2 linked regions of the Tamandua tetradactyla genome follow. The protein of the gene in region 2 purifies or fractionates together with the protein of the main gene of each other region. This does not show direct contact. Links are inferred from orthologs where the notes say so. Each region holds a gene or a part of one and is shown on either strand. Other genes may lie near its edges.

What was found.
Region 1: the proteins of NUFIP1 (region 2) and ZNHIT6 purify together in Homo sapiens (affinity purification with western blotting; 3 studies listed by BioGRID and IntAct, with this or other methods). This does not show direct contact. The link is inferred for Tamandua tetradactyla from reciprocal best matches to the Homo sapiens genes NUFIP1 and ZNHIT6.

What each region holds. Positions count from the first base shown.
Region 1 is NC_135337.1:39,271,178-39,287,367, reverse strand, and holds the start of ZNHIT6 (box C/D snoRNA protein 1), read right to left. Parts: upstream 7,740-16,190; 5' UTR 7,602-7,739; coding exon 6,940-7,601; intron 5,972-6,939; coding exon 5,906-5,971; intron 5,820-5,905; coding exon 5,713-5,819; intron 5,629-5,712; coding exon 5,543-5,628; intron 1-5,542. UniProt on the Homo sapiens protein: Required for box C/D snoRNAs accumulation involved in snoRNA processing, snoRNA transport to the nucleolus and ribosome biogenesis.
Region 2 is NC_135330.1:113,886,247-113,902,250, forward strand, and holds the start of NUFIP1 (FMR1-interacting protein NUFIP1), read left to right. Parts: upstream 1-9,267; 5' UTR 9,268-9,645; coding exon of another isoform or gene 9,646-9,733; 5' UTR 9,734-9,948; coding exon 9,949-10,372; intron 10,373-12,436; coding exon 12,437-12,519; intron 12,520-13,919; coding exon 13,920-14,018; intron 14,019-14,985; coding exon 14,986-15,048; intron 15,049-15,946; coding exon 15,947-16,004. Other genes in the region: GPALPP1 (GPALPP motifs-containing protein 1), read right to left, coding at 3,304-3,399, 4,061-4,193, 9,646-9,733. UniProt on the Homo sapiens protein: Binds RNA.

The sequences.
Region 1 (16,190 bases), on a different chromosome or scaffold from region 2:
GCTTTAAACCATCAAAAGATTTCATGAGGGATTTAGACAAAACAAAATAAAAAAATAACCAATTATTTGGCAATTATAGGGACTACCTATATAGTTCTTTATTTTCCTTTTTCTGACTGCTTTATACAATAATTAGCTATATATGGGTCTGACTCTATTATTAGGTAGCTAGCTCACCCAGAAGGAACGATGGCACTAACTAGAACAAGGCCTTACTCAAAGTAAGTACTGTTGTGGGTAGTACAAAACTGAGGTGTGAAAATGCTTTGCCTCTGACATGTGCCACTCCAATGATCACCTGGGTTGGTTAAGCTGAGTTAAGAACTCCACAGTCATGAATGAATTAAAGATCATGAGTTTTCAGTTAACTCAAGGCAGAATTGCTCGAAGAAAAATAAAAGTATAAATCTAAGTTTTTGGTTAGAGGAACGGGAACGTATGATTTAAAGTGCAAAGAGTTAGACAAGTCATAAGTCAATGAAGAGAAGAACCAGATATCCAGGCTAAGTAGGAAAATAATTCTTAAGAAATTACATTTTACTTTAATTTTAATCTGCTCAATTAGTATAGAGCTGCTCTTTGGGGTAATGGAAAGTTTTGGTAATGGATAGTGGTGATGACAGCAAAACACTGCAAATGTAATTAATGCCACCGAATTAAATATTTGAGTGAGGTTAAAAGGGGAACTTTGAGGTTGTATACATTTATATTATAATAAAAATTTTTTAAAAACCCATTGGACTGTACAACACAGTGAACCCTTAATGGACTACAGTTAATAGTATAATTATAATATTATTTCATCAACTATAACAAAAATACCACACTAATGCAAAGTGTTGATAACAGGGAAAACTGTGTATGTGAATAAGGATATATGAGAACTGTATTTCCTACATGACTGCTCTGTAAACCCATAATTTATCTAATAAAAAGTAAATTTAAAAGAAAAACAACAAAAAAGTAATTATGGGGCTCTGATTTCAGTAATAGCAATTACATGAACATACCCTTTCCCCAATGAAAATATCTAAGAATGACAGACAATGGAGGAAATACACATATAAATATATATTAAGACATCTTAAAATGATGATAGCCAACAATGTACATGGAATACCACTGAACTATATATTTGAAAGTAGTTAAAATGGGAAATTTTATGTTTTTATGTTACCACAATAAAAATTTAAACACAGATACACACAATCACTTGAAAAGCACTGAGGAACTGACAAAATAGCTAGGAAATATCAGCCAATATTTAACAGAAAGTGAAACTTTTGAGAGGTAAGGAGAACAATGAAGCCACTATTGCTAATTTTGGCAAATATGGGCTTCCCTTTTCAATAACCTTCTTGATAAGCAAACAGGAAGTTAAGATCAAGTAATTTGATGGGAATTTTTCACATTAAACTGGGTCCCAGAATAATACATACTCAGGATAAAGGTGAACCAGAAATAAACCCTATCCTTAGAGGATGCTGGGAAAATTGTGTTGGATTGAGCACAAAAGGGGAAAAACAAAACAACCCTGAGAAGTAGCCTGGGCCAGCCCTTGCTCAGATTTGCGATTTGCAATTACTTGCCTTACTTTATGTGGTCAAAGAATTCTTAAATTGTTAATTTGGTTTAAGGTAGATCTGGATTTGCTATGTTCCCAGGTGCCTGGAAAAATAAAAATCATGTATAAAAGAAGGCCTATTTATCTAAAAAAAATTCTTAAATTACAAGGAATTTTTTTTTAAAAAGTGAAAAAAATCAGAAAACAGGTGAAAGGATAGATAAGTTGCAGGGAAGATAAGACCTAAGTCACATTTAATAGTTTCAGAAGTAGAAAGGGGCAGAAGTAATATTTTAAAATAAAAAGTGATAATATCCCAGAACTGATGAAAGATACTTCACAGATTTGAGAAGCCTAAAAAATCTTAAGCAAGATAAACAAAAAAGATATCTGCACTTTTGTATCATGGTAAAGAATGAAATTAGCTAAGAAGAAATAGCTAGGAAGAATGCAGCTAGGAAAAAAAAGATTTCAAAGGCAGAATTAAAATAACAGGTGACTGCGATTAGATCTTACAACAACAATGGAAGGCAGAAGACAATAGAACAATGATTAATAATTCTTAATTATAGTTAATTATAGTCTAATTATAATTCTATAATTAGAGAAAAATTATTCAATAAGGATGAAATAAAATTATTTTTAGATAAACACATACTAGTAGAAAAAATCTGAGTTGGCAATTAGCAGCGCCTCCCTAAAGGCTATTCTAAAGGATGTATTTCAGGCAGAAAGTATTCTCTCAGAGGGTCTGAGATGATAATAGAAAGAGTAAGAAGCAAAGAAGTTGGGAAATATAAAGATAAATCTAATAAACATTGACTGGTAATCAATAATTATTACATGAGGAAAAAGAGATAATTTAAATATCTGACAATAAGCCAAGTCAGAAGGGAGTGATTAGAATGTGAAGTGTACTAAGGCTGGCAAACCAGGGCCGTGGGCCAAATCTCACCTGCCAATTTTGTAAAAAAAGTTTTATTGGCACATCGCCCATCCATTTGTGCATGCATTGGCTATGGTTGCTTTCTTGTTATACTGGCAGAGTTGAGGAGTTGTGACAGATATGATATGGCTTAAAAAGTCAAACATTTATTATCTAACCCTTCACAGAAAGTCTGCCAACCACTGTTCTGAGGTCTCTACATTATCTGGGAAAAGCGTTAAGGCACTGGTTAACTTTAGACACCAATAACTAAGCATGCATAGCTAACCTAACCACTGAAAGGAAAGAAACAAGGACTATAGAGAGAAAACTTCAAATTACAGCAAGAAATCGTCCCAAAGATGACAAGAAAAAAAAGAAACCAAACAAATGGGACAAATATTACAATAAGGTGACAAATTTAAACCTAATATATAAGTAATTCATTAAAATGTAAATGAACTTAATGATTCAGTTAAAGGTTACAGATAGACAGGATAACTGAAATTCAACTACAGATGTTTATGTTCTTTTACCGAGTATGACATTAGCTATGGGTTTTAATTTGCAATTCTCTGATTTCTAATGAGACTGAGCATCTTTCATATATTTTATTGGCCATTTGGTTTTCCTGTTTTGTGAAGTGCCTGATCAGTTGCTATTATGTGTTTCTTTTCTATTTTTGTCAATGTATCCTCTTGACTTTTATTATATATACCATTCCTTCTACTTTGAGTGAATGTTGGTGTTTTTTTTCCAATTTAAGATAATTGATTGGTTTATAACTCATTGATCTTTATTTCTTTTCTAATATGCACTACTTTTAAGAATATAAATTTCTCACAAAGTATTGCTTGGCTTGGATTGTACAAGTTTTGAAACAGTGACTTTGATACATGGTTAATTTAGATATGTGTTTCTTAATTTCCAAGAGAAAAATAATAAAGAAAATACAGAAATATCATATTATCCTCACCCTTCCCCTAATTATTAAAACTTTGCACAAGTCCACTTAATAGGTAAAGAACAGTCTCTTCAACAAATGGCGCTAAAAAACTGGATTTCCACATGCAAAAGACTAAAGGTGCACTTGTGGTACATTTGTTACAACTGATGAAAGAATATTATTATAATTGTACTATTAAGTATGGTCCATGGTTTAGATTAGGGTTCATTGCGTTGTGCAGTTCTATCATGTTTTGTAAATTTTTATTCTAGCAACATATACACAAAATAAAATTTCCCCTTTAACCACATTCAAATATATAATTCAGTGCTATTGTTCACAGTGTTGTATTACCATCATCACCTTCCACTACCAAAACTTTTCCATCACTCTAAATAGAAACTGCACAAATTAAGCATTAATTCCTCATTCTGTACCCCACCACAGCCCCTGGTAACCTATATTATAGCATCTGACTCTATGAATTTTCTTATTCAAATTACTTCAGATCAATGAGTTCATACACTATTTGTCCTTTGTGTCTGGCTTATTTCACTCAATGTGATGTTTTCAAGATCCATTCATGCTGTTGAATGTATGAGAATCTCATTCAATTTTATGGATGAATATTATCCCACTGTACGTACATATGACATTTTTTAATGCCTTCATTCATTTATGGACACTTGGGTTGTTCCCATTTTTGGCAATTGTGAAGGCTACCATGAAGATCAGTGTGCATATTGTCTGAGCACGTTTTTAATTCTTTTGGATATATACCTAGAAGTGGGATTGCTAGGTCATATAGTAATTCTATACTTAGCTTCCTGAGGAACTGCTAAACTGTCTTCCACAGTAGGTGCACCATTTTACATTCCCACCAAACAATGAATGAGTGTTTCTATTTCTCCACATTCTCTCCAACATTTGTAGTTTTCCTTTTTTGTAACAGTTGCTATTTTAATGGATGTGAATTAGTATCACACTGTGATATTTTTCTGCATTTCACTAATGGCTAATGATGCTGGGCATCTTTTCATATGGCTGATTGATTTTGGACAGGAGTGCCAACCCTATTTCATGGGTAAAGAATAGTCTCTTCAACAACTTGTTGCTGAGAAAACTGGGTTTCCACATGTAAAAGAATGAAGGTATACACCTACCTTCTCACATTATATACAAAAATTAACTCAAAATGGATCAAGGAGCTAAATACAAGAGCTAAAGCCATAAAATTCTTAGTAGAAAACATAAGAGAAAAATCTTCATGACCTAGGATTGGGCAATGGATTCTTAAATATGACACAAAAACATAAACAATTAGGAAAAAAACTATAAACTGGACTTCTTCAAAATTAAAAACATTTGTGCATCAAAGGACATCATCAAGAAAGTGAAAAAATAATCTACAGAATGGGAGAAAATATTTGGAAATCATGTATCTGATAAGGGTTTACCATCCAGAATACATAAAGAGCTCCTAAAACTAAACAACACAAGACAAACCCAATTTAAAAAATGGGCAAAAGACTTGAATAGACATTTCAATAATTCACCCAAACCACCATATTTCTCACCTGGATTACAATAGTCTAACGGTTTTCCCTGCTTCCTATCTTCCCCTATAAAGTCCATTATCTACAAAGCAACAAGAATGACCTTTCAAAAATCAGACATGCCCAAAACCCTACTAGCGATTCCACTGTAACTTCTTTTTTTTTTAACATGGGCAGGAACCAGGAAGTGAATCCGAGTATCCAGTTTGGCAGGCGAAAATTCTGCCACTGAGCCATCACTGTCTACTGTAGTACTGTTTTTTGAATACATAATACATAAGTAGCTCCCTCCACAACATTTTCAGTCCCTTATTTTCTGTATGCACTTAACTTTGTTTGAAATTATATTTGCTCCTCTACTCATCTCTTCTGTCTCCCCCACTACAATGCAAGCTCTCTAAGAGGAAAGTCTTTGTTTGCGCTACTCTTATGGTCCTAGTAACTAGGATAGCGCTGGGCTGTGACAGCCACTTAATATATCTGTTGGGTGAAACAAGTAACCTATTTGTTGGAAGGAACTGCAACTGGGACGGATTAGAGGAAATCCTTACATGTTTATTTCTTATTGGTCTTTTCAAGAAAGTGTCTCTGGAAATATGGTCTGCTGTTCTTGCCACATCTTCCAAAAATCGATAATCTAAAAATTATGAAACAGAAAAATGAACAAATGACATAAACCAATGACCAGAAGCATCAATCTGCTATGCATAAAATGGCTTACCACTTAGAAGATTCATTTCAGTAAACTGTTGTATTGAAACAAATGCAGTTTTATCTCGAACTCCATTACATATCAGTTCTGCTTTGTGTTTCTTTACACAGGGCAAACTGGAGAGACAAACAGGAAGAACTTTTATACTCTGAAGTAACCAGGATAGAGACAGAGGTAAAAAGATAGGAAAATACATATATACCTGCAGGAAAATCGCATACAACGTGGACATCTGTACTTTGCTTCTTCTATACCACAAGTTTCACACCTACAAAAGCCCATATATAACTTATTAAAATACCAATTATTAATTGTACTTATATATTTGTAATCTCTGAACGCAAATCGATTTTTATCAAGTCAATTTACCAACATGTAGTCATAGTGAACAAAGTACATGCAAAAGTAACTGATAAAATACTTACAAATGTCAAGCAACATTTGAATACTCTCCTCTATGAAACTATCTCCAAATGACAACTACATTTACAATGTAACTGATGGTATATCTCAAGAAAACATATATTAAATTAAAAAGTATCACCTTACTTTTGTCCTCTTTTTCTAGTATATGCAGAGCAAGATTCACTGATACGTTAATTAGTAATTCCTAGCAATCTAAAAATGTATCTGAATGCTTGTATCCAGAAATTCAATCCATGAGCTATGTATAGATATTTTGGAAGCATACATACCAGCCAAACAATATAATTAGAAGACCAAGTCAAATTTGGAGAGTGGCAGTTACATCTTTTCTTCACTCCACTCAAAATAATCTAGAAACGTTATTAACCATCAACTATTTTCAACTGCTATTCTAGGATCTCCCGGTATTGATAACCAAACCACAGCTACTTCTATTTGACCCTCTGTGTCCCAGCCAGTAATAGTCCCAGGAATACGACCACTCTTTTATTTTCTGTCACATGACCATACAATGCAAAGAAAGTAAAATTTAAGAAAACAAATTCATAGGACCCATTCAGAAAGTTGACAATTGAGTTCAAATGCATTTCTGTCTATTCTTAACAAGTGAATTTACTACCAACTTCACATATTCTCACTGAACTTGTTTCCTGACAACACATGGCCTCCAACACCCCACCACCTCAGGCTCCACGGACACAAACTGGCACTAGTTTTCATTACTGCTCTGCCAGCAGAGCGTAGTTTCCTTTACTCTAGACAACAGAATATTCCACTTTATTCCCCTGATTTGATTTCTCCTCATCTTACCTTGACATGGCCAGCTTACGTTTGCAGCCCATTGGAGCCTTCATTTGAGACTCTTCTTTCACCTTTGTTTCTTCCATCACTTCCTGCTTCGGGACATTTTTCTCTTCTTTCACATGCACTTCATCCATAACCTCCTCCTTTTTTATGTTCTGGTTAACGAAAATCTCCTCTTTTACGTCCAATTTATCCTCCCTCTCTTCCTTCACTTCTGGCCAGTCCCTTATCTCTTCCTTCACTGCCACTTTCTCTTCCTTTACCTCTGGTTCTTCCATTTTCTCTGTTTTCACCACCAAACTACCATCCATCTCCTGTTTCACTTCCAACATGCTTGCTTTCTCATCCTTCACTTCAGGCCCTTTCTCCACCTCCTGCTTCACCCACTGTCCATCCAACATGCCTTCTAGTTCCGACCAGTCCATAACTTCTTGCTTCACAACCTTCAGCTCTATTCGCATTTCCTCTGCTCTCTGTCCACTTTCCTCCTCTTCATCCTCGGTCTTCAGTCCTCTCTGTCCATTCCCCTCCTTTGCAAGGCCGGCCTCCACCAACCCTCCCAAATCCGGGATTCCCTGTCCACACAACTCGGGTCTTAGCCGCGCCCCCTCAGTGCCACTCTCGCTATCTCCTCCCGACGTCCCTTCATTTTCAGCAGCAAACGCCATCACCTTACGGTCCTTGACCTCCGCTGCCTCTGTGTCCCCACCAGGCAGCTGCTCCCACGCCGAGAGGGGTGAACTCCCGCCTGGAATGCCTAGGCTACCCACGTGTCTGGCCGTAAACCGTGTACACCGGCTCCGCGCGGTCACCTTAAATTGCCGTAAGGCAACGCTCCTGCGCGTCGCAACTTCACGACTCGTGGAGCTCTTTACGACTCTGGAGCGATCTTGTCCGGTTTTTTCTGCGATTATCGGCGTGAGGCCACGCCCACTGAGCGCTCGCTTCCCGGGGCGGGGCCTCGCGACGCGTTGCCCCTGGAGAGGCGGCCTTGGCCCCAGTGTCGGCGTCCCTCCGCCCCGCGCCTCTCAAAGAGGGAACCCGGAGCCGGTCAGGAGGTAAAGGACTGGAAACCCTGTAATTAAATCCTGTAGTGCAGAAAGCCACCCTAATCTGTTACCGATTAAATCTAATCTCGTGAGAAAATAAAAGAATCACCTGAGGCTACTTTTCTCTCACAATCATATTACAAATTTCTTGATGTCACAAACTCTATGTACGGTGGGTGTTTATTTTGGGGGATTCTGATGGAGTTCAGGTAGGAAAGAGGACCAACTGTTGTTCTTTCAATTGTTTGTCAGTAACAGCCCACATCAGCCCATTCCCCATTTCCAGCATTCTGCGGAATTTCCTAAGAGAAGGATTGTATATTTATAAATAAAAAGTCCTGTTTAAAGACTGGGACTAAAAGTTCAATCATCAGAAGTAAAAGATCTAAAAACGAAACATAAATCAACAATCACACAGAACCTTCCTTTGCATCTGTTTCAGGGTACTATTTGTTTTCTTTTACTACATATTTGGCATTAGGCACTTTCAAAGCCATGATTTCACTTATTTTTCAAAGCATGTATGTGAAGTATGTATTTTCCTGGCTGTATGAGGTGACTTCAAAGTAGTGGCTTCTTAGCTGTAAACTGCTTTGTGCTACACCTTCAGACCCTGTTACTTAAGCACTAAGCCATCCACAACTGGTCAGGAAATGGCAATCTTGAATTGGTGGACAGAATGAGAGAATTTTGGAACCATAGTTGGGGCATCACCAATTGAGTGGGGCTGGAAGGAGAGTTGAAGGAAGTTTGGAGCAATTTTAGTAAAATCTCATGGGTTGTGAGGAGGAAGCTGCCAGTGAGAGCATATGGACAGTATCTTTTGAAGGTATTCAACAGTGCCAGTAGCCCATGGAATTAAAGAAACTTCACAGGATCTTCAGGCTGGTTTACATCTTTATGTAAAGATGTAAAAGGGGCTAAATGGAAGAATCATTCATACTTGCTAAACACCAAGGGTGGGAGATGAGAGCAACCCAAGGGTGTGTTGATCCTCAAAAGAATAAAACTATCTGAATTTCCATTTAAAATCTAGAGATATAGGTCAGAGGCCAGAAGCATAAGGACTTTCTAAGATTTTGGAATTTCTGTCATTACCTCACATTTGTTCTTGTAATCAGTTTTTTGTTTGTTTTATTTCACAGTTAGTGGAAGGGAAATCATGAAACCATTAAGGATCATTGATAGGATCACAGCTAAGCCCTTATCTAAATTAAACAATCATCACTGTTGGGAATGGTAATTGCAATGATGATACTATTATGGAGGTGTGGAGTTACTGGTGGTATAGTTGAATGGCAGTTTTGAAGGAAGGGGGAGGCCTGAGTGGTGCTGGAAGAGGGGATTTTAGGGTGTTGGAATGTAGAACAAGGGCATTGCCTGCAAGGGGGGCAATAGGTGGGACAGAAAAAGTAAGGAAGAAATCATGTGGGGCTGTGCTGGTTTGAAAGGAAGTATGCCCCCTAAGAAAAGCCATGTTTTAATATAAATCCCATTTCATAAAGGTAGAATAATCTCTATTCAATACTGTATGTTTGAAACTGTAATGAGATCATCTCCCTGGAATATGTGATTTAGTCAAGAGTGGTTGTTAAACTGGATTAAGGGACGACATGTCTCCACCCAGAGATAACATTTAAAAATACTAAAATATACTTATGCCACAAAATAGTAGAAGAGAAACAAAGAAATGTGAAATAGCCCATCCAAAGGAAGATGATAAGAATACAGATAAGAAGGTAAGAATATGGTAAGATTCTCTTTCTAGAACAGGGGTGAGCAGGGCCAGTCACTGATCACAGCTTTTAATTCACTAATCACAGTAAATTTGGATCACTGGGGCCTGGCTGTGAGAGCAGCCACTGTTTCAACTCTCCCTGGATAGGGTGGAGGGTGTGAAGATTTAAAGATGCAGAAGTTCCTCAGGGCTGCAGGGGCAATTAGCTGAAGGGCTGCATTTGTTGGGCAGGCCAGGAAAGCTCAGATTTGGGGACCCATTGGAGAAGTTTTGACATCCTTCCTGATCCCCTCCCCAGGGCATTTTGGAGCAGGTCTGGGCCCCCTTCAGGGATCCCTGGCCCTTTTTTTTGGCTGGGAAAGACTTGACTTGGGAAAGTCCTCTCGGGGGAGAACCTCCTCCCAGAATTTGTCCTCCAGGCAAAAACAGTGTGTGACAATGAAAGAAATGTAAACAAAAACAAAAAACTATAGAGGAAGACAGTCTGGAACAAAGGGATATTAATTTCAAACACCTGGGAGAGGGAGGTCTGTTTCTTGGGAAACAATGGGAAAAACCCAACACCCATAAACAGGGGAACTCCAAAATGAATAACAAGCAAAAATCCAAGACAAGACAGAGGTCTAGAAAGACAGGGAAACTCCTGTACACTACATTTGCCTTCAGTAGACCTTCCTGATAGGAGGGCTGAAGCTCAAGAAGATCTCTGCCTTATTATCAGCTTGTTAAAAAACCAAGAAACAGATATCCCAGGGAATATATCCCAGAGATAACATTTAAAAATACTAAAATATACTTATGCCACAAAATAGTAGAAGAGAAACAAAGAAATGTGAAATAGCCCATCCAAAGGAAGATGATAAGAATACAGATAAGAAGGTAAGAATATGGACATACTGAACAAAGACTTTTAAAATGATCTTAAAAATGCTCAAGGAGATGGAGGAAAGTACAGAGAGAGAACTAAAGAATATGAGAAAAATAATGAATGAGCAATGTAAAAGTCTAAATAAGGAGATAGAAATTAAAAATATATATTTTTATTGAGAAATAGCCACCACATACAGTCCAACCATATTATACAATCACTGGCTCACAATATCATCACATAGTTGTGTATTCTTCACAATGATCATTTTTAGAACATTTGCATCACTCCAGAAAAAGAAATAAGACAAAAAAGAACTCTCATACATCCCATAACACTTACCCCTCCCTCTCATTGACCCACAGTATTTCAATCGACCCAATTTTTACCCTTTATCTCCCCCTATTATCTATTTATTTTTATCCTTTTTTTTTCACTTATCTGTCCATACCCTGGATAAAAGTAGCATCATACACAGGTTTTCACTATCACACAATCACATTGTAAAAGCTATACAGTTATGCAGTGTTCTTCACGAATCAAGGCTACTGGAACACAGTTCAACAATTTCAGGTACTTACCTCTAGTAACTCCAATACACCATAAACTAAAAAGGGATATCTTTATAATGCATAAGAATAACCTCCAGGATGACCTCTCGACTGTGTAATCTCTCAGCCACTAAGACTTGATTTTGTCTCATTTCTCTCTTGCCCCTTTCGGTCAAGATGGCTTTCTCATTCCCATGATGCTGGGTTCCGGGTCATCCCTGGGAGTCAGGTCCCATGTAGTGGAGAGGGCAGTGAGTTCACCTGCTAAATTGGCTTAGAGAGAGAAAGCCCAAATCTGAGCAACAAAAGAAGTTCTCTGGGGGTAACTCTTAGGCATAATTATAGTAGGCTTATCTTCTCCTTTGCAGGAATAAGCTTCATAGGGGCAAGCCCCAAGATTGAGGGCTCAGCCTATTGGACTGATTATCCCCACTGCTTGTGAGAATATCAGGAATTCCCCAGATGGGGAAGTTGAATATTTTTCTTTTCTCCCCAGTTCCCCAAGGGGACTTTGCAAAAACTTTTTAATTCTCTGCCCTAATCACTCTGGGATATATTGGGTCGTCATACTAACCTGTACAAACCAACAAGATTTCACGCTATATTCAAGATTCCATGTAATTATGGTGTTCAAGTAAACTGACCATACAAGTTAAATGAGATAATGTGCTATCCAAAATATAAATTTTGCACCAAATAAACATCTCTCCCTTTGGTCTCACACAGAGGTTGAAGTTTGAAGCTATGGTCCATAAGAGCTAGAAATTTTAAAAAGGTACCAAACAAGACTACTGGTGTTGAAGACCAAAATAACTGAAAAGAAAAAATGCCTAGGAGGATTTCAAGAGCTGGACATGACAGAAGAAAGAATAAGCAAACTTGAAGATTAGGCACTTGAAATGAGTTAGGCTGAGAAGCAGAAAGGAAAAAGAAATATTAAAAGTGAAAATAACCTAAGACAGCTATGGAACACCATCAAACACATCAATATGCACATTATGGGTGTCCCAATGGAGAAGAAAGAGACAAAGGGGCAAAAGAAATAGTCAAAGAAATAATGACAGTGACTGTCCCAAACTTAGCAAAAGATATGAACATCTCAGAAACTCAGAGAAAACCAAACAGAATAAATATAAAGAATAAAACACCTGTCAAATATAGATTACAGTATTGAATGCAAAGGACATGGAGAGAGTTCTGAAAGCTGCAAGAGAAAAGCAGCATGTTCCATACAAGGGAGTTGCAATTAGATTGAGTGCCAATTTCTCATCAGAAACCATGGAAGCAAGAAGGCAGAGGGTTAGAATACTTAAAGTACTGAAAGAAAACTACTGTTAGCCAAGAATCTGGTGAGATTCACTTTTAAAAATGGGGGAGGGAGTAAGACATTCTCAGTAAAACAAAATTTGAGGGAGTTAGTCACCACTAGATTGGTCCTACAAGCAATGCTAAAGGGAGTTCTTCAGACTGAAAAGAAGTATACTAGACAATGGTTTAAAACAGCATAAAGAAATAAAGATGTGTGATTAAGGTAACCATTTGGGTAATTACAAATGTTATATTGTAGTTTTTGGTGTGTAACCACACTTCTTATTTTCTACAGGTACTAAAATTCAAATGCATAAAAAAATAATGATAAATCTATGTTTCTGGACATGCATTGTAAAAAGAGATAAATGGTAACAAGCACAAAAAAATTGTGGGCGTTGAGTGGTATAGGAAAAGTATAGGTACATGCTATTGAGTTAACTTGGTTTCAAACCAAATATGATAGCTATATATTTGGATGTTGAATTTTAGCCCCATGGTAACCACAAGGAAAATAGATGAAAAATATATCCAGATAGAAGTGGGAAGTCACAAGATGGTGCAACCCCAAAAAGCAAATAAATATAAAAGTAGGCATTAACAGAAATGAAGGACAGAAAGGTAAAAAAAAGACTTACAGAGTCTACAAATGGCAGAAGAAAGTCCTGTTTATCAGTAGTGACTTTCAAAGTAAATGGATTAAATCCTGCAGTCAAAAGGTGGAGATTGGCAGAATGGATCAAAAAGCAATGTTCTGGAGCAGTAGAAGGAAAAATGCAAGATGATGGTTTAGTAGCCCATGAGAAACTCTGGGATCTGTCCTGTAACTACTTGTTGAAGAGTGCTTTGAAAACTATTGCTTTTTTCTGTCTTTGTTTTGTATATATGTTATATTATACAATAAAAAAGCTAAAAAAAAGAAAAGCATGAACTATATACTGTCTGCAAGATACTCACTGGAAATTCAAAAAAGCAAGTAGGTTGAGGGTGAAAGATGGAAAAATATATACCAAGCAGTAACCAAAAGAGAGCTGGGGTAGCCATACTAACATTGGATCAAATAGGCTTTAAGTCAAAACAGTTACAAGGGATTAAGATAGTTATATACAGATAAAGGGGAAAATTCAACAAGAAGATGTAACAATTATAAATATATACGCACCTATGAGGAAATTTCCAAATATATGAAGCAAAAAATGGCACATTTGAAGGGATAAATTGATGGTTCCACAATAATAGTAGGAGATTTAACACACCACTCTCAATCAGAAGGTCAAGAAGGAAGTACAAGACTTGAGTGATACACTAAAGCGACTAGACCTAACAGACATATATGGAACACCACACCCAGTGAAAACAGAATACTTCTTGAGTGTACATTGATCATTCTCCTGGATAGACCACATGTTGGGTCGCAAAACAAGTGTCAATAACTGTAAAAATACATTTTTTTTAGAGTGGAGATTAATGAAAAATACATTTTTTTAAAAGTGGAGATTAATGAAATAGACAACAACGCAAAAAAAAAACAATAGAGAGAATCAACAAATTTGAAACTTGATTCTTTGAAAGAATCATAAAATAAAATTAACAAACCTTTAGCTAGACTGACAAAGAAAAAAAAAAGAAAGGAGACAAATAACAAACATTAAGAAGTGAAAATGGGGACATTACTACCACTCTCACTGTGCCAGTTTGAAAAGCCATGTTTTAATCCTGATCCAATCTTGTGGGAGTAGATGTTTCTTTTAATCCCAATTCAATACTGTAGGATGGAAACTTCTGACTAGATTACATTCATGGAAATTTGGCATGCCCAATGGTGGGTGTGAACTTTTGATTAGATGGAGATGTGACTTCACCCACTCCAGGTGGGTCTTGATTAATTTACTGGAATCCTTCAAAAGAGAAAAATTTTGGAGAGAGTAAGAAATGACAAAAATGACAGAAGCCTCAGACCTGACAGAGAGAACAGATGTAGATGCTCAGAGGATGGTTGCTTCACAGAACAGAGACATGGATGTTTGGAGATGCTTGGAGCCCAGCAGATATCACCATGAGATGTTAGGCAAACCAGAACCTGAAGAGAGTCATGGGAAGCCAAGAGATGAAAGCCAGCCCCAGAGCAGCAAAGTGAGGAACCCCTACAGGAACAGAGGCCAAAAGCAATGGAGCCCAGGAGCAAGGTACCAGCAGATACCAGCCACTTGACTACCCAGCTGACAGAGGTGTTTCTGATGCATCAGCCTTTCTTGAGTGAAGGTAACTTCTTGCTGGTGTCTTAATTTGGACACTTTCACTTTCTTAAAACTGTTAATTTGTAACTTATTAAATTTCCTCTTTTAAAAAGCCATTCCAATTCTGGTATATCACATTCTGGCTGCTTGCTAACTAAAAAATAAAAAGGACTCTAAAAGTATATTTTGACAATTGTATGCCAATAAATTAGATAACCTAGATGAAATGGACAAATACTTAGAAACATACAAGGTATCTATGTTGACTCAAGAAGAAATAGAAGATCTCAACAAAGCAATTACTAGTAAAGAGATTGAATCAATAACTTAAAAAACTCGCAACAAAGAAAATCCCAGGACCAGATGGTTTCACAAGGCAATTCTACCAAATATTCCGAGAAGAATTAACTCCAATTCTGTTCAAACACTTCCAAAAAAATAGAAGAGATGAGAACACTTCCTAACTCACTCTATGAATTCAGCATCACCCTCATAGCCAGATAAAGGTACCACAAGAATATAACCAATAGCTCTAATGTTTACAGATGCAAAATTCCTCAACAAAATACTAGTAAACTGAATCCAATAGCATATTAAAAGAATTATACAACATGATCAAGTGGAATTTATCCCTGGTATGCAAGGTTGGTTCAACATTTAAAAAAATAATCAATTAATGTAACACACCAGTGTTTTAGTTTGTTAAAGTTGCTGGAATGCAATATACCAGAAATGGAATGGCTTTTAAAAAGGGAATTTATTAAGTTGCAAGTTGACAGTTCTAAGGCTGTGAAAAGGTCCAAATTAGGGCACCAATAAGGGTTTACTTTCACAAAAGTAAGGTTGATGCTGTCTGGAACATCTCTATCAGGTAGGAATGCATGTGACTGGCATCTGGTGGGGTCTTTGGCTCCTGGACACCTCTGTCAGCTAGGAAGGCACATGGTAATATCTGCTAGCTTTCCCTCCTGGCTTCTCATTTCATAAGAATTCCCCAGGGGTGTTTTCCTTCTGCATCTCCAGAGGTTTCTGTCTGTGAGGGCTCTAAAGCTTTTTCCAAAAATGATTCCCTCTTAAAGGACTCAAGTAAATAACTGCACCTTGAATGGGTGGAGACGTCTCCATAGAAATCACCTAATCAAAAGATCCCACCCACAATTTGGTGAGTCATATCACCATAGAAACTACTTAATCAAAAGATCCCACGCAGCAATACTAAATCAGGGGTAAAGAACATGGCTTTTCTGGGGTACACATAGTTTCAAACCAGCACAACCACAGTAACAGAATGGAAAAAAAAATCCACGATAATCTCAGTTGATGCATAAAAGGCATTTGACAACATACAGCACTTCTTCTTGTTAAAAACACTTAGAACACTAGGAATAGAAGGAAACTTCTTCAACATGATAAAAGGTACATATGAAAAGCCTACAGCTAATAGCTTACTTAATGGTGAAAGACTAAAAGTTTTCACTCTAAGATCAGTAACAAAATAAGGATGGC
Region 2 (16,004 bases):
ATGGCCATTCTAACTTTTTCATGTTGGAAGGAGCTGTCAATAATATGGGGTAGAGAGATGGAACTAGTTGATGCTCTGAAGAGGCTGGGCTCTCCCGGCTTCAGGACTTATCTGGTCAGGGACTCATCTGGAGGTTGTAGGTTTCTGGAAAGTTCAGATGTTCTTTAGGATTGGCTGGAATGGTTTTGGTTGGGGTTTGGCAAATTATGATAGGTAGCAATGTCTAACTGAAGCTTGCATAAGAGTGACCTCCAGAGTATCCTCTTGACTCTATTTGAACTTTCTCAGTCACAGGTACTTTACTAGTTACACTTTTCCCCCTTCAGTCAGGATGGCTTTGTTGATCCCATGGTGCCAGGGCTGGACTCATCCCTGGGAGTCATCTCTCATACCACCAGGAAGGCTTTCACCTCTGTTACCCTATTTTACAGTTGATAAATCTGAGGTTCTGAGAAGTTGATCAAATCATCTAATTTGGCACACAAGGATTTGTTTCTTCTATCAATAAATAATTAAGAAAGTATTTGAATTAGAAGTCAGAATATCAGGATTTCAGCCCCAGCTTTACCCTGTACAATGGGTACAACTTTAAGCAAATCACTGGACTTGTTTCCTTACCTGTTTAAAAAGGGAGGGGGGGAGGGCCATGGTGGCTCAGCAGGCAGAGTTCCTACCTGCCATGATGGAGACCTGGGTTCGATTCCCGGTGCTTGCTCATGCAAAAAAAAAAAAAAAAAAAAAAAAAAAAGGCAGGGGGATGGGGACATTATGTGGTACAAAATAAGCCAGAAACAAAAGAACAAATATTGTGCAGCTCTTTTAGAAAATACAAGAAGATTGGGGCCTAGATTGTAAGCTCTTATAGCAGTCACATTTAGTCTGGAGCTGTAAATGCTATTTTTAGATTTTGAGGTACTATGCTATATATGTATACCTGGTATCTCCCTAGAACTTTCGGTACCTGTGTGACACCTAAGACTCAGAGTTGGAGTTCTACAGCTTTGAAAGTCAGCATTGCTACATACAACAACTGTTAAAGAAACCAAAAAAGAGATTAGGCTTCAATTAGAGATAAGAATGAAGTCAACTGGGTTGGGACTAAGATAAATCAAGATACATGGGTAAAGATGATAAAGTAGTTTAGAATGTCACCTACTGTATGAGACCAATGGAATAGAGGTCTAGGTTGTCCAAAACCTGCATTTTCTGCAGCAAATAATCTAACTCAACCTATCTGGATAGATTATTTAAACAACCCAAACACAGGGAACCCAGAATGGGAATGAGGGCTTGTAATTTTGTAGAGTTTAATGTAATATCTGGATGCATTCCAGAGGATGTTGGGTAGATAATTAAAAAGCACTGGAAAACAAAAACCTACAACCTTCAGATGGGTCCCTGGTCTAGATAAGTCCTGACACCTAGCCCAGCCTCTCCAGAACATCAGATATCTCCATCTCCCTACCCCATATCAGTGACAGACCATTCTAATATCAAAAATTTAGACTTGCCATAGCCCAAACAACCCCAATGACAGGTATGGAAAGATCAAAGGTGATAGTGGAATTATACATAGAAGACAGAACTTAACAAATGATTATGAATGCTGAATCATTAAACTGATATCTCTTTCAGTCTCCAGTATTTTAGAGCAGCTAGAGTAAAAACTTACAAGTGTGAAATTGTAACCCATGTCAAAGTCTGAAATATGTTCTACAACTAATTATGGTGCTATGCTTGGAAATTTACAGCTTTTTTGTATATATGTTATTGTTTACAAAGAAAGAAGGAAAAAAAGATTGTATTGATAAAAAAAGTATTTAAGCCCCTAGCCTCCTATATTCTGGAACAGCTAGAAGGAAAAATATGAGAGGATAGTATGGTAGCCCATGACAAACTCTGGGATCTATCCTGTAACCACTTTTTGAAGAGTGCTTTCAAAACAACTGCTTTTTTATTCCTTTGCTCTGTATATATGTTATACTATACAATAAAAAAAGTTAAAAAAAATTATTGGCAAAGTCCCTTGAAAGACTGGAGAAAAAATATGGAACTATTAAACTTTACCACCAGGGAAACCCTTGATATTGTCTAAAACATTAGGGACTCCCAAGTCAAGAGGCCAAGCCCTTGATCTTGTTGAGCCTATTTCTGTAGCAGAGAAGCTAAGTCTACCTATAGATATGCCTAAGAGTTACTTCCAAAGAAGCTCTTTTGTTGTTCAGATGTGGCCTCTCTCTCTCTAAGCCAACTCTGCAAGTAAAAATCATTACTCTCCCCGCTCTGTGGATCATGACATCCAGGGGAGAAAGTCTCCCTGGCAATGTGGAATATGACTCCCAGGTTGAGCCTGGAATGCATTCCTGAACAAAATGGGTAAAAGAAATGTAACAAAATAAGGTATCAGTGGCTAAATGAGTTCAAATAGATTCGAGAGGCTATTCTGGAAGCTACTCTTACGCTAGCTTCAGCCAGATATTGCTAATTACCAGAGTGTGCCAAACCCTAACCAAAACCATTCCTGTTAACCCTACAGAACACCTAGGGCTTCAGCTGAGATTCTATAAAAGTTTCACACACTAAGATTACTTGTGAGAAACCTACAGCCTCCAGATGGGTTCTTAGGCCAGATAAGACCTGAAATTCAGAGGGGCCAGCCTCTCTAAGAATATCAACTAGTTCCATCCCCCATTCTGATTATCAACACCCTTTTCCAACATTAAAAAGTTAGAAGGGGCATAGCCCAAATAGCCCTAAAGATTGGGAGAAGGATAAAAGGAGAGGGAGGAGTTATGACAGAGGAGATAGGACTTAACAAATGACTATGACTACTGAATCATCATATTAATATTTCTTTCAGTTTCCAGTATCTTGGAGCAGCGAGACGGAAAAACCTAAAACAGTGGAACTGTATGTAACCCATACCAAACTCTGAAACCTGTTCTATAACTATTTGTTACAATGTACTTTGAAACAAATTGCTTTTTTGTATATATATTTCACAATAAAAAATGTTAAAAAAAAAATGGCAGGGGGAGAGGGCTAACATTCCACCTGGCCTACTACAAAACACTTTATTAGTACCATGTAAGAGCTGTGGAAGTTTTTTGTCAACTATTAAGTGTTAGAAACATGTACATAACTTTTTATTCTATGAAACGCTACAATTCCCTATGAATGACTTATGTAAAATGTTACATAGGTATATAAATTAAAAACAATTTCATACTATTCTTTAATGAATTAACAGACATTAGCTGAAATATTTAGAAAGGACAGGCCTGAAATATTACATATTATCACCTTGGAGGAGATTCATCCTGCTTTTTAAATCCAGGAGGAAGGGCTGGTCCAAAAAACCCATCATCATCATCATCATCCTGATTTCTCCTCTGTTTTCTGAAAACACAATAATGTAACTTGATCCATGCATATACATCAAGGAAATTTTAATAAAGCGAAATTTTAATTTCTAAAGGAAGCATTAACTGCAACTAGTTGGACAAACACTGAAGCAACTCCTTCACAGCACTTGTATTTCAATTTTTCGTGTTTAATGAAATATTGAAGTCTACTGCCAGATGTTTTTGAGCAAAAAGTTGGCAACTGACTTTTAATCACATTTAAGGAAGGGTTCTAAGTTGCTATTCTGTATCATAGTCTTAAAACTGTATCAAAAAAATCCTCACTATCCAATTATAAACAAAGACTCAGCTTCTTATTTACATGGACTCTTGGTGAATAAGGCTAGATAAACATATACTACATATACAATCTTAAAAAATTCTATGGCTTATGTAGAACATTTAGTCATTTCAATATCTTCCAGAAAAATTTCTAGATAACAGATTTATTGAAATTTTAGACATCTCACAGCTAGTATACTACAAGAATAAATTTCTTTGTGAAAGACATAGTTTATGCTAAAATGCCATATGAAATGGCTTCTTCCTCTACTGTATAACTACAGATATGACATCCCCTGACTAGTTATCTGTTCCAGCCAACTTACACTGGATTAGAAACTTGGTTTATCATTTAATTTAAGTAAGTGACTGACCTTGCAGTTGGACCAGTGTCATCTTCTTCAGACTCTTGATTTCCTTCTTCATACAAAGAACTACTGTCCTCATCACTATCTGATGAATCCGAACTACTGCTTTTATAATTAGGGGGCAAAGCAGGTCCTGCAACTAAAGAAAATTTATTGTGTGTGTCAAAACCAACTACAAATGATTCAATGAACCTATTAGATGACATTTTCACTTTCTGAAATTCACTGGACTGGCTATCTACCATCTGTTACAGATTTTAATATCAATTTTTAATGTTTTATGTACACTGGTTTTGCATTTCCAATTATATTCTTGCTTAGGGAAAGCAGAAATCATATCTTAGCATAACTAGGATATTCACAAGAACACTAATACCTGATTTATAAATATAAATATAGCATATAATTTCCCCAGCAACATGCAATTTTTTTCATTGTTTGGTACACTTGCCAAAATAGCTAAATGATTTTTTTCCTTTATAGATAGCATATGGTAGACAAAATTACACTACCAAGCAAACCAGACCAACAAGTTGACTATTTCATACTCTAATATATCAAACATAAAAATATCCATTCTGGTTTCTAATTAAAAAGAAAATCTTTACTGGCATCACCATACCAATCAGTTAGTGTTCTTTCAAGACAATTTAAGCAGAAATAAAGTCAGAATCACTTTTAAGTTTTACTGCTTACTAGTAGAGATGAACAGAAGAGAAAGAGATTGTACTGGGGTGGGTGGGATGTTGGGGACTTTGTTAAAAGTCCCTTAGGCCCACTCACCAAAGTGACCTGCTCTCTTGTTATACCCCAGCAAATTACAAATTATTATATGACGTCACTCCATGATGTTGTCAAGTCATAGAGACACAACTTCTGTGTTGATCCTGAGTAGTAATACTAAAGGTCTACTGCCAGGAGGGCAATGGTGGCTCAGTGGCAGAATTCTTGCCCGCCATGTGGGAGACGCGGGTCTGATTCCTGGAGCCCGTCCATGCCACAAAAAAGTCTATTGCCACATATAGGCCAAACACCTGATCTTGAGGCTTCCTCTTATGAAGTTTATGTATGCAGCAGAGAAGCTTAGCCTACCAGAGGTAGGCCTAAGAGTTACTTCTGGAGGACCTCATCTCTTGCTCAGATGTGGCCTCAATTCTCTCTAAGCCCAATTCTGCAAGTGAAATCATTGCCCTATTCCCTATGTGGGACATGACATCCAGGGGTGAAATTCTTCCTGGCGGCATGGGAGATGACTCTCAGGGATGAGTATGGCCCTGGCTCCATGGCATCAACAAAGCCATCCTGACCAAAAGGGGGAAAAAAGTGTAACAAATAAGGTATTAGAGGGGTGAGAGAGTTCAAATAGAGCCGAGAGACTACTCTGGAGGTCCCTCTTACATAAGCTTCAAGTTTCAGTTAAATATTGCTACCTATCATAATGTGCCATACCCCAACCAAAACCATTCAAGCTAATCCTAATGACTACCTAGGGCAATGTATAAGATTCCATCTCCCTATCCCATATTACTGATAGTCCTTCCAACATGAGAAAGTTAAAATGGCCATAGCCCAAACACCCTTAAAGAGCAGGACAGAAAGATCAAAGATGATGGTGGACTTATAAAGAGAAGATAGGGTTTAACAAAAGAGTATGATTGCTAAATCATTATACTGATATTTCTTTTAGTCTCCAGTATCTTAGAGCAGGTAGAAGTAAAAACCTAAAATTGCAGAATTGTAACCCATACAAAACTCTGAAATGTTGTTGTTCAAAGTGTCGTGCTTTGAAATTCATTGCTTTTTTGTATGTATTTCATTTTTCACAAAAAAGAAAAAAAAAGTCAATTGTGATGATAAAAAAGTATTTATTCCTTTTAACCGCCAATGTTCTGGAGCAGGTAGAAGGAAAAATGTGAGATAATGGTATGGTAGCCCATGACAAACTCTGGAATCTGTCTTATAACTACTTGTTGAAGAGCACTTTGAAAATTATTACTTTTTTCCTTTCTTTGCTTTGTATGTATGTTACTATTGCCAATGTAGATCAAAATGGAATAAGAAATAAAGACCACCATAATGGTGAACTGATAGGTAATTATAAATAAAGTCTTTTGCCATAATTTCCAAGTCTGGATGCTTTTCAAGAACCACTAAAATATATATTTTTTAAAAGATTCCTAAGCCATTTCCCCAGGGATTCTGATTGAGTTGGTCTGAGTCAGAACTGGAAATATGATTTTTTATTTGTTTATTTATTTTTAAAAAAGACTTTATTTATTTTATTTATTTTACATGGGCAGGCACTGGGAATCGAACTTGGGTCTTCTGGCATGGCAGGCATGCATTCTTGCCTGCTGAGCCACCGTGGCCCACCTGAAATATGATTTCTTAAAGAGCTTCTCAGATATGCCATATGTTCAATGATAACTTAATAAATAAAAGGAAAATAACATGTTTTGGGTTCTTATGCATTATATGTGATTTTAAGAAATTCATATGAACTAACCTATTTAATTTGACATTATTAGAGAGGTATTGTATAATAAAGAACTTGGCTGGCCTTTGCACCTGGTTCTTGGGAGATATCCTCTAAATCTCTGGAATTTCCCATGATAGACCATGCCCTATCAGCCTGACCTCAGGGGAGAGGAGAGGGCTGGAGATTACATTCAATCACATGGGCATGGGTTCAATCAATCATGCCTGAATCATGAATCCCAATAAAACCTCTGGATGCTGAAACTTGGACGAGTCTTTCCTGAGTAGTAACACATGTCAGTGTGCTGGAAGAGTGATGCTTCCAGACTCCATGGGGAGAGAAGCATGGGAGCTTTGTATTTGGTGGCACTCCTAGACTCCCCATGTATACCTTCTTTCGGCTGGTCCTGATTTGTATTTCTTTTGCTGTAAAATAAAACTGTAATCTTAAGTATAGCACTTTTCTGAGTTTTGTAAATTAGGGACTCCCAAATTTATAGCCAGTTAGTCAAAAGCGAGAGTGACCCTGGGAACCCCAGAACTTGCAGCTGGTGTCTGACATGAAAGTGGTCTTTTGAGGACTTGAGTGCTCAACTTGTGGAGTCTGGCCTGATTTTCAGGTAATCAGTCAGAGTTTCACAGCAGCTGGTATCAGAAGTTACCGTGAGAGGTGTTACTGTTATTTCTATTTTACAGACAGGTAACTGAAGCACAGGAAGGCTAAATAATTTGTCTGACTTCACACAACTAAAGAGAGGAGCCAGGATATGAATATAGGAGTCAAGAGCCTATACCCTTAACCACTATACTATCCAACATTCAAGAATTGTCATCCATCCATCCAACAAATACTTTACTGGGTAAATACTTCTAGAGAAACAAACATAAAAAGACATATTAGCGCAGATGGTTAAAGTGCTGTTATGCAAACAGGAAAATAGGGAAAAAGTGAGTGGATATTTAGGAGGGTAATTTTACATGGAGATTTGAGGGCAAGTCTGTTGGAGGTGAAGGCTGTTGGTGGGCATGCACCAAGCTGAAGGGAAAGCATCCAGATGGGAGCAGCTTTTGAAAAGTCCTACAAAAAGGGAATAAGCTAGATGTGCTCGAGGCCAAAAAGTCCAGTGTGGTTAACAAAATGACAGAAGAAGAAGGTGGATGGTACGAAGGGGAACAGAGCATGCTTTCATGTCAGACACTCTGGATTAGAATTTCAGCTTGGCCACTTACTAGCTGGGTTAACTGGTTAAGTTGCTTAACCTTTCTGAGATACTCTTTCTTCTGTTAAAACAAGTTAGCAGTATTTCCAAATTTCAGAGGACTCTTGTGAGGAATGCATTAGTTAATATATGTAATACACTTAGCACAGGATAAAGCACACAGTAAGGAGGTTCTAAGTTGGGAGAGACTTGACCTGAATTTGCGGATAAGAGGGGTTTGGAGGTGGGGGGAGGTGAGTTAGAAAAAAAAAAGGCTTATAAAAAATGTTATATTTGCAACATACTTTGAAGGAAAAGCAAAAAGGACCTGATAATGGTTTGGATCTGAGGGCAAAAAGAGGAAGTGAGATGGCTCAGGGTTTGGGCTCCACTGGCTAGCCAGGTGGGTGGTCATGCCATTCTCTAATATGGGGAAGACTAGAGAAGAGAGGATGGGGGAAAAAGTCAAGAGCTTTGTTTTTCACATTTTAAATTTATGATACCCATTAAAAATTTCAGTGGTCCTGTCAGTGGTACTTTAGGGAGCAAATCCTGCCTGAGATTAATACAGGGAATATAGGGGGTGCACGAGTAGATCAATCATAGAATAGCTGCCTGTCATACAAACCTGGGTTTGATTCCTGGACCATGCATTTCCCCGCCCCACACACAAGAAAAATAAAAAAAATTCCCTATGATACATATATCACATCTCTGCCTCAGGGTATATGTTTAGATGTAGAGATACATAAATGTAGGGAGACACATAAAAAAAAGTAGGGAATATAGTGAATCAGAAACAACATGCATATAAGAACCCAATCAGATAATTTGTTTCCACACTCTTCTCCAACCTTCTTTGCTAAAATAAAACATGACTTTTAGTGGCTATAACAAAAATGAGATCTGGAAGGAAAACCTTTAGGTAGAAACATGGCTGTGTGGCAGTCAAGCAACAAAAATTAGATCCAGAAATGAGAGACCTACTCTTTCTGCATTATTTTTCTCTAACTATAGCGTCGGTCCTAGTCTATAGCTAAAACAATAAAGGAGATAGATACGCGTGGAGGAGTCTGAGAAGCATTTATTTGGTAAACAAAATGTTGGCTATGTGTTAAGGCTAGAAGGCCATAGTGCAGTGGGGGAGACAAATAATTTAAATACACTGCATTAAATATATGATTTAATTAAATAGGGGAAAAAAAACCCTGTGGGGAAAGATGAAGGTGTGACAAAGCATGGGATAGTTCGGAATGACTTCAACTGGATATTTAAATTTGGATCTTAAAGGATGGATAGGAGTTTGTCAGGTGTGTTAAGATATGCCAACAGAGAGAGGTCAGAGGGACCCTAGAATATTAATAACTGTACAGAAATTTGGTCTGGTTTGAGCACTGTGTGCCAGACGCAATGACAGAATGAGAAGTTAAGGAAGCAGGTGTAGAGCCAGAGAACAAAGGATTTTCTGTGAAGGTCTTGTACGTCAGAAAACAATACCGCACAGAAGTTAGGAGTACGGGTTCTACTGTTCTAATTCGGCCTCCACCACATGCACGCTGTGATCTGGGCACCTATCTCGGCCTCGGTTTCCAGTTTATGATATGGGAATAGTAATAGTCTTCACCTCCTATAATTTCTGGGAGGATTAAATGACTGTGAGTCAACCGTTTAGCCCAGCGTCCGGCTCATATTAGCGCTAAATTAGAACACATCAACATCATAATGATAACCCAACGAAAGCTCGCGCAACGCTACGGGTTTTCTGAGGATACCCCACCGCCACCTACTTGCTACTACAGCTTAGGAGGGAAAATTACAGCTGCGGTCGGGCCGCGCCCACTCCCGGGTCCTCCGCCCTCCCGGGGGTCTCCTTACTACTGGGTCGGACCAGCAAGGGGGCACGCCTCCGCCTACCCGGGCTCGGGTCCCGCTCCTCGTCTTCGGCTGTCCCGCGGGCATTGAAGCCAGGAGGCAGCGCCGGCCCGATCATGTCCCTGGCCATCTGAGGTGGTCGACACTACTCACGCACAAATATATTCTATTCGCGCAGCTGCAAATCTATCCGAAAAATGCCCAGCGGAGCGCTGCGAAAGCTTTAAGTTTTTCCGGCGCTGACCAATGACATAGCGGCCTGTGATTGGCTACATTGGGCAATTCGCGCTAACGGAAGTGACGGCTAAAGGTTGTGCCAAAGTCATAGGTTAGGTTCCCGACCTGATGGACGGCGTGGCTGAGCCGGCTGGTGGAGTTTTGACTCCTCCGGGGAGTTTTCCGCCTCCCCAGCTGAACCCCGCGTTGGGGTCGCTGAACAACGCTGCCCCACGGCGGGACAACTGGGTGCTCTGGGCAATGCTGCAGCCGCCGCCGCCCCCGTCTTCGTCCTTGACTTCCACGGTCGGGTTAGAGCCTTCCTCGGATTCGCACCCGCACCTCGCGGCCCACGCTCTCCCCGGGGTGCCGCCCCCCTTCGACACTCAACTTCTTCCCGGAGCTCAGCCCCCCTTCGATGCCCAGTCTCCTCTTGATTCTCAGTCTCGACCCAACGTCCAGCCTTCCTGGAATTTCCAGGCATCGACATCATGGTACTGGAGACAGTCTCCTGAAACGTTTCCTCAGCATCAGAAGTCCCACAACCTTCACGGTAGGCTGTTTTTCCTCACAGTATCACCCCTTTACCTATCACCGGCCCCCTTTCTTTTTCCCTTCCATTTCTGCTTTCCTTCGCTTTCTGCACTTCTGATTCTGCCCTGCACTCTTGGAATCTGGTCGTTAATGTCTCACAGTATGTCCTGCTGGAATATTTTCTCCTTCTGTCCATTCGTTTTAGAAGTTATTTATTGAATTTCAACTAAGTACCGGGAACTGGGAATATAGCAGTGAACAAAACATGCAGAAATCTTTTTCTTTATGGAGCTTAACATCTTAGGGTGGACAGACAATGAACAAAGCATATTGTGTATTTGAACGCAATGAGTGTGATATAGAGAGATAAAAATGATAGTGCAGTTTTAAATACAGTGGTGGGGGGATGGTCTCATAAGAAAGGTGGGATTTGAGCAAAGACTTCAAAGAGGTGAGCGACCAAAATTATGGCTCTATGGGGGGAAGGGATATAGGTAGAGAAAACTACATGTGCAAAGGCCTTGAGGCAAGATATACAGAAAAGAGTGGAGTCCTTGGTGGTTAGAGAGAAGTGGGCCTAGTGTAGAGTAGTAGAAGAGGACAGACTTTGTAGTTTGCCTTGTAGACCATTGATGGAACTTTCATTTGACTTTTACAGTGGGTAGCCGTTGACCCGTTTTGTTCAGGGAAGAGATATGTGCTGATTCAAATTCTAAAACGATCAGTCTGGCTAGAGTAATGTAATTGAAAGGGCAGTCAGTTAGGAGGCTGTTGCAGTTATCCAAGGGAGAGATTTGGGGGACGTGGGCTAGGGTGGAGCTGGATGATGAGAGGTAGATGGATTCTAGATATATTTTGAAGATAAGGCCAGTATGAATGCTGAGGGTTTGGATGTGGAATGTGAAATGAGGAGATGAAGGTAACTTAAGTTTTTTCCCGACAAAGAGCTGAAATTGAGATGGGGAAGACTGAATGGAATGTATTTGAAAGGGAAGAACAAGAGTTGGGTTTGGATATGTACATTCAAGTAGAGTTATTGAATAGCTGCTAGCTATGAGACTGTACTTTCAGGAGAGATGCATGGCTGGAGCTGTTAAGTTGCCATCATTAGCATGTATATAGAAGATATTTAATGCCATCAGCTTGTTCACATAAAACCATTCTCCAGAATTTCTCCAATTGCACGAAATTCAATTTAGGTTAAATTAAATCTAAACACTCAGTGAGTACTGTGTGTCAGTTGGGGAAATATATGTGTGGCTAAGACCGTCCTAAATTGGGTGAGATAGGTTCATATATATGTATAAATTACAATATAAGTATGACTGGTGATAGATGCGTATAAAAGGTGATTCATAATGCAGAAGAAGCAGCTTTTGGAAGAAGTTTCTTAAGGAGGTGTAGGATTGGGGGGAAAAGTGCTTTCTAGGTAATGACAGAGAGATGTCAGTACAAGGGTTCTGGAGGAAGGTTATAGAGGCAAAGCAAGCTGAAAAAATAAACTGGAATCTCATCAGAACACTCCAGAAAGCCATTTGTAGATTTTTGAGAGGGTAGTGTCATGATTGGAGTGTATTTTTGGTGTCATTGTATGGGATCAGTTGGAGAGGAGAGAACTTAGGAACTGAAAGACAATCTGGGAGAATATTACAGTAATCTATATGCAAGATCAGGGTTTCAGAGTTGGATAATGGCAGTAAGAATGGAAAGCAGCAATAGGATGTGAGAGAAGATGTACAAGGTTTCATTATCCTTGTGTTAGAGTGATGTTGGCAGTGCTGTATCAGATTTTACTGTTTAAGTTTCTGATATTCAGAATAACTGAAAGGAATTTCATTAGGTTATTGTCCATTTCTATACCTAAAACATCTATGGACCTGTTATCTCACCAGTATTTTTTCTTTTGAAAATATTTATTTCGTAGACTCGTTTTAATGTTTATGAATTTGTTTGATGTTCAACTACTATTCTTAGAAGGGCTAATTTAGCAGCTAATTTTACTCAAGTATATGCAACGTGCTGTAGCAAATAAAACTTTAAATAATTGTGTATTTGCAAACATTGATCTCTTTTTGTTTTTTAGCTAAACGTTCATATTATCCAAGAAAACATGATGCAAACTTCACTGATTTCAACTTCCCTCCTAATAGAAAACAGAAAAAAAAGGTATTTTGGGGATGTTCTTGAATGTCCCTATGTCACTTTTTCATATCTTGCATTTCTGTCATAACCATCTCCGTGTTTTGTGTCCCTTATTGACACTGTTTCTTTAAAGATGATGTCTGAAAGTAGAAGCTTCAAACAAAGTTTTTTTGAGAAATAAGTGGAAAAATTGTAGAGAAAGGATTAATGGAAAGAATTGAATCCATTTTGATATAGAATCAAAAGTAAAAATAACTGAGAATTATAATTATAGAACAGTATGAATCTTATTAAACCTTGATAAAATAGAAAATAATGTTAGCAGAAGAGGAGGGACTTGAAGGAGAAGTACTTTAGAAGTACAGATTTCTAAAAATAAAATTATATAAAATTGAAAGCATGGGACTAAGAACAAAGGAGGCTTTTTTAGGAATCCATATTTCTGTGTTAAGAAAACAATTCCTTAAGTTTCCTTTTCTTGTATTTATATAAGATTAAACAGTGTTGTAAATTTAAAACAGTTTATATATAATCATCATCTCTGCTTAATATCTGCAATGATTGAGAGTACCAGGTTTTTTGTGTCATTTTTATCTTATTTTTTATCTGTTGTTTACCTAAATTCATTGTAAAGCTTCAGTGTTTTTCATTTATGGCTGTTTGTCATTTTTTAAATGAGGAAAAAGAAAATCAACTCTTTTATACTTTAGAAACCAAGTCTTAAGATTGGTTTTCTTTATTCTGAAATAGCTTGCAAATCTGGTTTTTAAATTTTAAGGTGAATAAATAATGCCATTTGTTTAGAATATGTTGAACACTGTCTACAACCTGAAATGAATAGCCTTCATTTTGGCATGAAAGCTGTGTAATTAACATTAACAAAATGTTCTGCAAGTACAGTGTGTTTGTTCACATAAGTCCGACATTCAACAATTGGAGACCATTTCCTACATAGTCTGTCTTTGTAATAATCTTTTTTCTTTTTTATGTTCAAGCATAAAAATAGCAAATTGGAAAATCAAAAACAACTAACCTTTACCTAAATGATCCATTTCTCCTCTTTCTTTTTTTTTTTTAAAGCATCATGTAATTATTTTTTCTAAGAGTCAAAGTATGGTTTACCCTGAGTATTTATTTTTAGATCATTTTGACATGTACTATACTAAGTCTTCATTAGATTACCAATTTGGAATCTACTTACAAAGTTTGTATTAGCTTTACTCTCATTTAAAGTTTTTCCTGTCTGATCTTTCCCTAATACTTTTGCTAAAAAGAAAAGAAAAAGAAACATTAGAAATACGTTCAGAAAATTTTCCCACATATGAGGATGAAAAGTCAAAATGTTTATTAGTAGAACATAGTTTTATTTTTGTTATTCATAGATTTTTCTTTAAGTTTAATGTCTCTTTTTTTGTTGTTTGCAGAAAAGAAAGGAACCAGTTTTTCTCTATTTTTGTGATACCTGTGATCGTGGCTTTAAAAATCAAGAAAAGTATGATAAACACATGTCTGAACATACAAAGGTATGTTTTCTTTTTCTTGGTTGCTCTCAAATTCATTTAGTAAAATTGCTGTCTATCTATATGTTTAGTAGAATTTCTGACGTTTTCTCCCTTGAAAGCTTATGGTTTTCATAGAAATATTGTTTAATAACTTGACGAATTTGGACAGTGACCCTCGGCTTTGCAGCTTAAAAGTTAGGTATCCTCTCCTTTAGAAAGAAGTGCAGTGGCAGTAAAGAACAAGGGCAGTCTGGCAGCTGTTTGCATGTATGTGCCTCTACTTCTTTGTAAGAGGGCTGGGCCTTCCCTCCAGGTACCTGGGGCATTTCTATGAATTCTTTCCCTTTTAAGACTGCCCTTGACTATTTAACCATATACCAGCGTATAATTTTCCATGGTCTAGCAGCCTGTATGTATGGTCCCAACCTTATTAATCACTTTTATTTTGTTTTTGTTTTCGCATAGGCAGGCACCAGGAATCGAACCCGTGTCTCCGGCATGGCAGGCGAGAATTCTGCCTGCTGAGTCACTATCGCACTGCCCTTTTTTTGTTTGTTTGCTTGCTTGCATGGGCAGGCACTGGGAATCGAACCTGGGTCATTAAGTATTTTTTAAAAAAAATTTGAACCAGAATATTGGACAATTAAAAAGTTAAAAAGCCATTGTTTGGAGAGGTTTTTCAGCTTATAGAAATGCCTTTCAACTTTAGCAGTGAAGTACATTTTGCAACATTGCTGATGTCAAGCTTTCACTCGAAGAAATAAATGCTAAATATTACGTATTATATACTTTGAGAAAGTTATCCCTTTCTAAATGCAGCTCTGTTTTGGAGTCATCTTTGTTTTGGTGTTGACATAAATATGAAGTGATGACACCACATAGATGGGATAAGTTTATAAGTATGGCCAAAATACATCTGTATGTGAAGTAGTAGGGTAAATTTAATGTGAAGAATATTTAAGTCTTTTTTTTTTTTTAACTCTTCTAGTGTCCTGAAGTAGATTGTTCTTTTAGTGCACATGAGAAGATTGTCCAATTCCATTGGAGAAATGTAAGTTTGTGTGTTTGTGGTTTTTTTTTTTTTTTTTGTATGCTGTCTGGTGGGGTCACATTTCATTATTCTTCCATGTGAATATTCTGTTATTACAGCACCATTTGTTGAATTTTTTTGCTTGATTTTGTTTGTTTGTTTTTGGGAAAGTGCATGGACCAGGAATTGAACCTGGGTCTTCCACATAGCAGATACCCTGTACCCTCTACCGTATCTTTTTGCATAGGCAGGCTCCAGGAATCGAACTTGGGTCTCTGGCAACCTACCCTGTCTTTTTGATACATGCTCTTTTTATTTCATTGATCTATTAATTTCTCAACTCTTCATTTTTATAGCCTAATAGAAGGTAACATCTGTGGAGTACTTTTCACTTTTTAAGGCATTTTTACATCACTTATTCAGCTTCATCTTCACAAATAGCTGTGTGTGGAGTAGATAAATATTACTTCCATTTAACAGATTAAAAAAAAACTTGTCTAATGCCTCAAAATTGATCCTTGAGTCTGATTTTCTTGACACCAGTCTGTGCTCATTTTACAGCACTGTGCTGTTGCTGATAATCATGCGTACTCATTATTTCTATAGCTGCCTCCCTCAGTTTTGGTTGTAGGTCACTCATTTGTCAATTGAAAAAATGAGTGATGCTGGCAGGTTACTTTGTAACCAAAATTATTTTATTCCTTTTTTTCTGTTAAGTAGTGCTAATCTAACTACATGAGAAAATTCTTTAAGGGAAAAGTCATAGTAATAATGGATAAAATTATCTTACTTTGCTTTAAAATTGTCTCTGCAACTGAATGCCGTTTTGGGTCCAAGGTCTCCATTATCTTCCATAATACTCATAATACTCACAAGTATACTCTGTGCTTCCTGATGTTCAGCCGGCTTTTTCTCCTAGACGCATGCTCCTGGTATGAAGAAGATCAAGGTGGATACTCCAGAGGAGATTGCAAAAT